2 linked regions of the Drosophila melanogaster genome follow. The protein of the gene in region 1 purifies or fractionates together with the protein of each later gene. This does not show direct contact. Each region holds a gene or a part of one and is shown in the gene's direction. Other genes may lie near its edges.

What was found.
Region 2: the proteins of RhoGAP92B (region 1) and Cip4 purify together in Drosophila melanogaster (affinity purification with western blotting; one study listed by BioGRID). This does not show direct contact.

Annotation. Positions count from the first base shown.
Region 1 is NT_033777.3:19,903,411-19,907,327, forward strand, and holds the start of RhoGAP92B (Rho GTPase activating protein at 92B), read left to right. Parts: upstream 1-1,753; 5' UTR 1,754-1,900; coding exon 1,901-1,950; intron 1,951-2,038; exon of another isoform or gene 2,039-2,220; coding exon 2,221-2,477; intron 2,478-3,917. Other genes in the region: Surf6 (surfeit 6), read right to left, coding at 350-1,158, 1,213-1,378. UniProt on the Drosophila melanogaster protein: GTPase activator for the Rho-type GTPases by converting them to an inactive GDP-bound state.
Region 2 is NT_037436.4:4,362,166-4,366,082, reverse strand, and holds the start of Cip4 (Cdc42-interacting protein 4), read left to right. Parts: upstream 1-2,108; 5' UTR 2,109-2,220; coding exon 2,221-2,335; intron 2,336-2,955; coding exon 2,956-3,056; intron 3,057-3,917. Other genes in the region: CG33514 (uncharacterized protein), read right to left, coding at 1-223, 283-587; mRpS6 (mitochondrial ribosomal protein S6), read right to left, coding at 873-1,271, 1,338-1,382.

The DNA of each region.
Region 1 (3,917 bases):
GCAGCAATCCAACTAAACGATTACGATATCAATCGATTGTTGTTATCGGTCTCAGCTGTTCGCCGTTCTTCTTCTTGCCAATCTTTGGTGAAGCCGCGCAACGCACAGTGGAACACAAAGTGACACAAAGTGGACAAAAACGAGGAGCCAAATAGTGTGGCTTGGAACTGGGAATTTAGCTGTCTACTGGAATTTTGACTGTGTCGAGGCCGGAAAAGTAAATTTCTAACACGAAAGTATAAAAACGTAAATTTCAGAAAGATCACTTTTTTTCTAAAGCATTCTGAGTTGAATTTCAACGTGGCATACATTTACACTACTTTACACTTAAGGGCTATAGTAAGCATAGTTAATAGCCGGGTATGATGCGACCCCTCTTGCTGGCCGTCTTTAGTTTCCGGTTCTTCTTGTCCTTGCTGCGCTTCTCCAGGTTCTCCTGTCGCTTCTTTTGCCTCTTTTCCTTGTCGTGCTCCACCTTCTGCTTGCGTTCAGTCCACTTGGTCTTGGACTTCTTCTTCTCCACGCGCCGCTTCTTGATGGCCTTTTGCAGCAGCTTGGTGTCGTCCTTGACCTTCTTGCCCTCGACCTTGTCGAATGCGTTGCGCCAGGCGATGTCCGTCTGGATCTCCGCCGCCTTGTCCGTTTCGCCCTGTTCGCGCAGTTCGGTTAGGTGCTTCTTGGTGTCGCGCAGCTTCTTCAGAATCTCCTTGGGGTTTTGGTGAGACTTCTTGGCTTTGCCTCCAGGATTGGCGGCAAAGTCCACCTTGGAGTAGACGATCTTGGCCTCCTGGTTGTAAACCGGTTGCACCTTGACCGGCTGGATCTGTTCCTTGCTGTCCTCCGTCTCCTGTTCTGATTTCACCACGCCATTCTTCAGTTTCTGGTGCTTGACGTTCTCGTTTTTGAGGTTTTTGGCCGAGGAGAGGAGCAGTTTCTGGACGCCCTTGCTGCGTTTAAGCTTTTTAGATTCGCGTCGCTTCTGCTGTCGCTCCGTTGTGGGTCCCTTTTTCTGGCGCAGCTTGTTCTTGATGGAGGCAATGCGTGCCTCTACATCCTCGTCGTCGGAGTCTTGGTTTTTCAGTTTTCCCTGTTGTTTCTTTTTCTTGTTTCCCGATTCCTCCGTGTCCGACAGCAGGTACTCTTCGTAGGTCTCCTCATCTGTAGGAAATACGATAAAGTTAAAGATTTAAGGCTTTTCATTAATGGTTTCACCTTCTTGTTTGGAGTAGGGCACTTTGTGAATGGTCAGCAGTTCCAAGACTCGCTGATAGAACTTTTTGGTGATGGCGGGCAGGTCCTCCTTCTCCGGCTTCTGATCCTTGTTGTGTTCGATTTCATACTCCTCCCGCAGACATTTCACGATCTCCGCCTGGGTCATTTTCGAGAGTAAAATAACAATAAAACTATTATTTACGCACGCACACGTGCAGCTAAGCAAGGCGGTCGAGTTCAGTGTGACCCCACAGAATTCGGGTGTTTTCGACAGTGGTTACCCTAGCGCAAATGTCTGGTACCGCTACAAGTAGTAAGGGGTATTCCCCTATTCAGCGAATTTAAGCAATGGTTTCAGATTAAAGGAGATTGAAATTTAATAAACATTAATTAACCATTGCTTAAATTCATAATTCTAGCCTAAGCTCTGAGAAATCTCAACAGGCATTTATCAAACAGTGTTACCAAATACGAACTTTCGAAAAAGGCGCTCTCCAGCCTTTTGTCATTTCCCAGCGCTCCCGCTGCGGTCACACCCGCCTCACTTTTCCGTAAAACATCGTTGAAGAATGACTAATTTGCCTGTTTTAAGTATTTACTCAATGCCCAGCTAATTGCACATCGCAAACAAACACACAGCAGTTCAGTTCAAGTTGGAGACGCGAGCGGCACCAGCGAATCAGCCAAGATGAAGAGGCAGTTTGCCAAAATCAAAATAGCAGCCGAAAATCTGTCAAGGTAAGTTCAAAGGCCAGCCAGTCTGTCGGTCGGATGTCTGTGGGTGTGTGTTTGTGTAAGTGCGCTCCAGGTGGACAGACAGGTGTGTGTTGCCTCATCACGAAAGAAGCAACAGCAGCAGCAGCAACAACAACAAAAGCAGCAGAGAAGCAGCCACAGAGCAACTGCATCAATAACAAAGCGCGATGACAGCCGTAACAATAGTGGACTGCCGATGATGACCTAACCCGTGCTAAACCCGTGTCAAAATGGTCCTTTTCGCATTCGCAGATCGAGCAAGTCGGACAGCAAGGACTCGGAGCTGGAGGCGATCGAGCGGCAGGTGGACAGATACCGGGACACCATCGAGAAGATCGTCCGCAAGCTGCCGGCGCTGAGCGGCGGAGGCGGAAGTGGAAGCGGGAGCAGCGAGGAGCAGGACAAGCGGACCAAGAAGAACAGTCACTACAAGATTGCCCAGGCTCTGGACGAGTCCGCCAAGGAGCTGCCCAAGGACATGCCGCTGCAGAAGGTCCTCGCCAATTGCGGTTAGTAATCGGGCAACCGGGATTTCCAGTGAGGCAGGCAGTTGCGTAGGCGGTCATTCGCCAGAGGGGGAAGTTACAGAATTTGTTCTTCATCAAGTGATTATATTGATATTGCTTTAGGTACCTAGCTTATCATAGTTTGTTAGCATGTTAGCTTAAACATCCATATGATGTTTCTTACAATCTGAAAATAGTTCCCAGCTGAGAGCCCCTCCTTGCAGCGGCAATCAGCCATGCCTACGGCCCTGGTGGGTGTCATGTTGTCGCTGCTGATAAGGCGCACAGTGGTTGTCGTTCGCTCCAAATCCGATAATCGCCGCCAGACATGCACAATGGCACACGAACACGAGTACGGGTTCGCAGGGGGCTTGGAGAACACACTACAGTGGATGACTGTGTCACGGGCTTCGGTTTGTCTGTGTGTATTGGCGGCCTCGCCTTGTCGCTTGGCCTTGTGGCATTTACATTTCTCAACTGCAAACGGCAACATCAACATCGACATCCACATCGACGGCGTTTTTTAATCATTATTATAATTTTTATTATGACTTTTTCGCCGCTTTCTTTCGCAGCCCGTTCGCCCGCAGTATTGGTATTGGTTATTATTTGCGGTTTCGGCATTGTCTATTTATACACCTTTTTGTTTTGCCAGCCAAGTTAGCCCGCCCCCATTGGCGCCCGTTTTTATTGCCCTGCTTCCATACAATTCACTGCCCGATTCACTATGCATTTCATTTAAATTTGTTACACATCGCGCGCGAAGTGGCATAACAAAGCCCGGTAAACGGCGATAATTATGCTAGCTGCTTGGCTAGCTGTGGCTAGTAAAAGTAAAAGTCTGGGCCAAATTCATACATCATCGTATCGTCATGATCTCTTCTTCGCTGTTCATTTATTATTATTTGGTGGGCGCTCCCCCTAGGTCGCATTACTCATTCCGAGTGTTATTTTTATTTGCCTGTATTATTTCCATTCGCTGTTTCCCCCTTTCAGGCACTCTGCATTCCACATATTCGCAGATGCGTGTGCGTCAATTGCAATTGCCAGTTCTGCCGCAGTTGCAGCGATTCAAGAGCATCTCGGTGGTTGTGTAACGGCCAGGGATCTGGAGAGCCCCCCCCCCCTTTTTTTTTTTAGTTCCCCACGTTCCTGATTAGACACGAACGCTTACACATGCAACTATCGCAGCCACAGTGAACGTGTGTCCGTGGGTTAAGTGGAAGCTCCATTCGAATGCTCGGGAAATCATAATTGGGTCAAGCTGCGGAAATCGATCGCCAAACGATGCAAACATTATTTTTGAAAGGGCTATAAAGCCTAGAGCATTGTCAGACTTTTCTATTCAAATGTTTGGCGAACTTTACGTCTGTTTATTTGCAAATGTTTCGGAAACCGAGCAATCGAAAGTACGTATTATAAAATCAAACTCGATTTCATTCG
Region 2 (3,917 bases), on another chromosome or scaffold:
CATCTGGAACAAGTGTGCGGCGGTGGCACCCTTCATGTCCATAATGAAAACTACTCCATTGACATTGGCGTAGTCGTCCTCCAAAATGGCAATCTCCTGCATTGCCTGGGCCACTTGCATGCACTCCAGCATTGTGTACTTCTCCACTGGCACCAATCCCATGCGCCAGATCCCGATGCGAGGTCCATTTTCATTCAGCGGAGTGGGCAGGTAGATGATGGCACTGAATTGACAGAATTGCATTGATAAATTAAATTAGTTAGCTGGCGTCAAAATCCTTACCCCGTTTGATGAATCTCCCGGAACTTGCTATCCGTGGTGTTGGTAACTCGGAAATAGTCCGGATACTTGGTCTTCAGCGTGTAGTACTTATCTAACTTGGACTTGGCCCGCTCCAAACTGTACTTGCAGCCGCGCAAGAAAGCCACCAGAAACTGATCATCCATTCGGGGATTTAGATGCGGCTGCTGCTCGATCCATGTCTTAAACGCCTGCAGATCGGCTTCGAGACGTTCGGGATCCTCCTTGAGCTGCTCCTTGGCAACTTTTTGCAGCTCTGGCGTAAGTGGACGGATTTGCGGTGACATTTCTAGGTCGTTTGCGGTCAGGAGGAAGTACTAGTGAACTGCTCGACGATTCTTGAGGCACTACCTGGACAATTTACGTTCTATTGATGGTCGATTATACGGAGCTTTATCAATTAATTGATAAGCGTCCGATTGGGCGCCATAAACCAAACAAAGACAAACATTGTGAAAAGTACTAAGATAACAGGCGCATTTCATAAGGAATGCTTCAGTTTGAATTAGCCAAAGATCGAGGAACCCACAACCGGTTTTAGCATACATAATTAACGCGTTTTATTTGGTGTTTTATTTTTGGAAGGGATAGTAGTCCAGGCCGGAGTTGTAGTTGAACTTCTTCTTTTGCTTCTTCTGGGCGGCCGCAATGATCTCCTGCACATCCTTGCGATACGCGGGTGGCAGCATCTCCTCGTGCAGCGTGCAGGGCTTCTGCTCGGGCTCCTCCACCTTGAAGATGTAGCGCCGTATGATGTCGATGTCGCGGCCAAACTCCTCCTTCAAGTCTGCGATCTTAGTGGGCGCCGTATCAAAGGCGATGGTGAAGTGGGTGCCTTCCCGGTGAACCACCCCGTGTTCGCTGACTTTGTGGGGCAGGGCGCGGGATCCCAGGTTCTCCAGCTTCCGGATAATGCCGCCCTTGTCCAGGATGGACTCGGCCGTTCGCCTAATCACGGAAATCAGTTCGGGCTGCGGGCGGTGTACAATTCTTATTTACTTTTATGTAACTGCCGGTGGATTTCATGTGCTACTCACGCGAGGCAATTGGCGGAGCACCAGTGCTAGTTCGTAAGAAGGCATTGTGACCGGTGAATTGTATGAGCTGGTAAGGAATTTAATTTCTTATATTAACGTTGTTTCTCTCAAGTTTTAATTCATTAAAAAGTTAGTAAATCTAATGTAATTGTTGACCCACCAGCTGATAGTGTTAACAGCTGATGCAAGGAAAGTACTAAAAATGATCTAGCGCCTGGCGCACATGCTTACACCTTACAGTGTGCCAAAATCTATTGCTCCAGTGAATTTAATGTTCAAATTAATATATTATATACAACAATAAGCGATGCTCTTGTTACTTTAAAAGCAATAAACAATAATAAGAAGTTTCTTCCAAGCTCAATAATAGCTTTCTTCATCTGTTTCAACGTTATGTTATTCCATAAAATTATTAGTTTTCAAGGCCACAATAATATATTTAAAAAGTCTACAATTAACGTTAAATTATAAAAAAAAATGGGGGCACGTATTAACGAAAGTTTCATATATTTTATATAATAATAATTAAACTTTACAGTTGCTCTCAATATGGGTTCATATCCCCGCTAGATGTTAAAGAGTTAGAAATTAGGTCGCCATCGGTCTCTGGTCACACTGCAAACGCAGAGGTGTGCCTATTCAAACACATTGCGGTCACACTGTGTATTGATGCCGAAGTGAAAAAACGAGCGGAAAGTTGCGAGCGGATAAAATTGTTTTTTCGCACGCCAAAAAGGAGAAACAAATGCTTGCGTTGTGTGAGTGCGGGTGTTTTAACTGTGTGCTTGTGTGTGTGTGCAAATGTCGCCCGAATTATGACGCATGCGAAAGTGCAGGCGCTAAATAAAACCCAAAATCGAAAGAAGTTGCAACTGCAAAGCAAATGCTAAAAAAAAAGTTAGCACAAATAACAAAAAAAAAAACGGTGGCAGATCTAGAAGCAGAGTGCGTGCATTCGGCAATTGCGTTTACTTGTGTGCGTGTGTGTGCGAAATTATGTAAATACAACAATAGTAGAATTCCAATTGTCCTCTCTTTCTGCTTTTCTCAATTATGAAATGCAGTTGCATCGCTCTCTATCTCTATCGCTCCCTCTCTCTCCTCACTCTCTTTGCGCATCGAAATGCCAGTGCATAGAATTTTCTTATTTTGCACTTATCACTAAACAACTCCCAAAAAAAGTGTTTAAATTCTCATTATCTATAATTTCCTTCAACTTCATTTTTCTACCTGCCGCTGCAACTGACACGTCTGCATTGCCACTCTTTTTTGTTTTTACATGCTTTCTTACCTGCCCAACCACCGAAAAAAAAAAAAACAAAAATGAAATATATCTGACTCGAATTGCTCTCTTTCATAGAAAATTAAACATCGCGCCGCGCAACGCTGAAAAAAATATAGAAAAACAAACGGAAAATGAAAACGAAAAAGCAGCCATAAAATTAATTAACCTTTGCGGGAAAATATAAAACAAAAACGAATAAAAGTTCTCATCTTTTGCTCTTCTCCCTCGCTTTCTACCTTTCTCCCTCTCTCCTCATCGTCTGTGGATTACATTATCTTCTGTGGATTATTATTATTAAAACAACAACAACAACGACGGCAACAACAAATACAGTGGCAAGCGGATCGAGCAGAAGCAGCAGCAACAACAAACTGGCCGAATCGGAAAACTCAGCGCAAAACTCCAACAACATGAGTTGGGGCACCGAGCTATGGGTGAGTTTTTCCTGGATTTAGAGGGGCTATATCTTCAGATAAGAAGTCGTATTTCATTGATAAAACAGGGGGTTCCTATAAGCAACAAATACATAGTTCTGCTTGTTTGAGGAGTATGAATGTATACCTATAGCTAAAAATCAAAACAAATTCGTAGTTTAGCTTGATCAGAATCATTAAGGTGTCCATTACCAGCTCAAAGAAGCTGGGGTCGGAAAAATCGAATTTTTGAAATTTGAAAGCTGGAATCGTTTGCCCATTTTTTGCCCATGTTTGCCCACCAATTAGTTTTTTTTGCCCACGTCCAGTTTTTGAGATATGAATTTTCGAAAAAGTTCGAAAATTTTCGAAAATCAAAAATTTCGCTTTTTTCAAATTTTTTTTTTTTAAATCGCAATAACATCGTTTGCCCACGTTTGCCCACCCTTTAGAATTTTGAAAAAATTTATACTTTAGAAAATATAAGGCTTTTAAGTTTACCTCGGTCTAATCAGAGAGTAAATCGTTTGCCCATCTCTTAAAACCAAATATTATCAACAAAAAACGTTTGCCCAACCATTATTATTAGTTTTTATCGTTTGCCCACCCTTTAAAAAACCTTTAACAAAAATTTTTTTTCGATTGCCCACACTTGAAATACAACTAATTTCGTTAGCCCACCTCTTCAAAATAAAACTTTTCAATAAAAAACGTTTTCCCACCATTTAAAAATAAATAATTTCGATTGCCCACCTTTTAAAACTAAATAATTTCGTTTGCCCATCCTTTAAAATTCATTTTTAACGTTTGCCCACCCTTTAAAATTTGTTTTTTTCGTTTGCCCACCTCTTAAAAATGGTTTTTTCGATTTTTCACCTATTA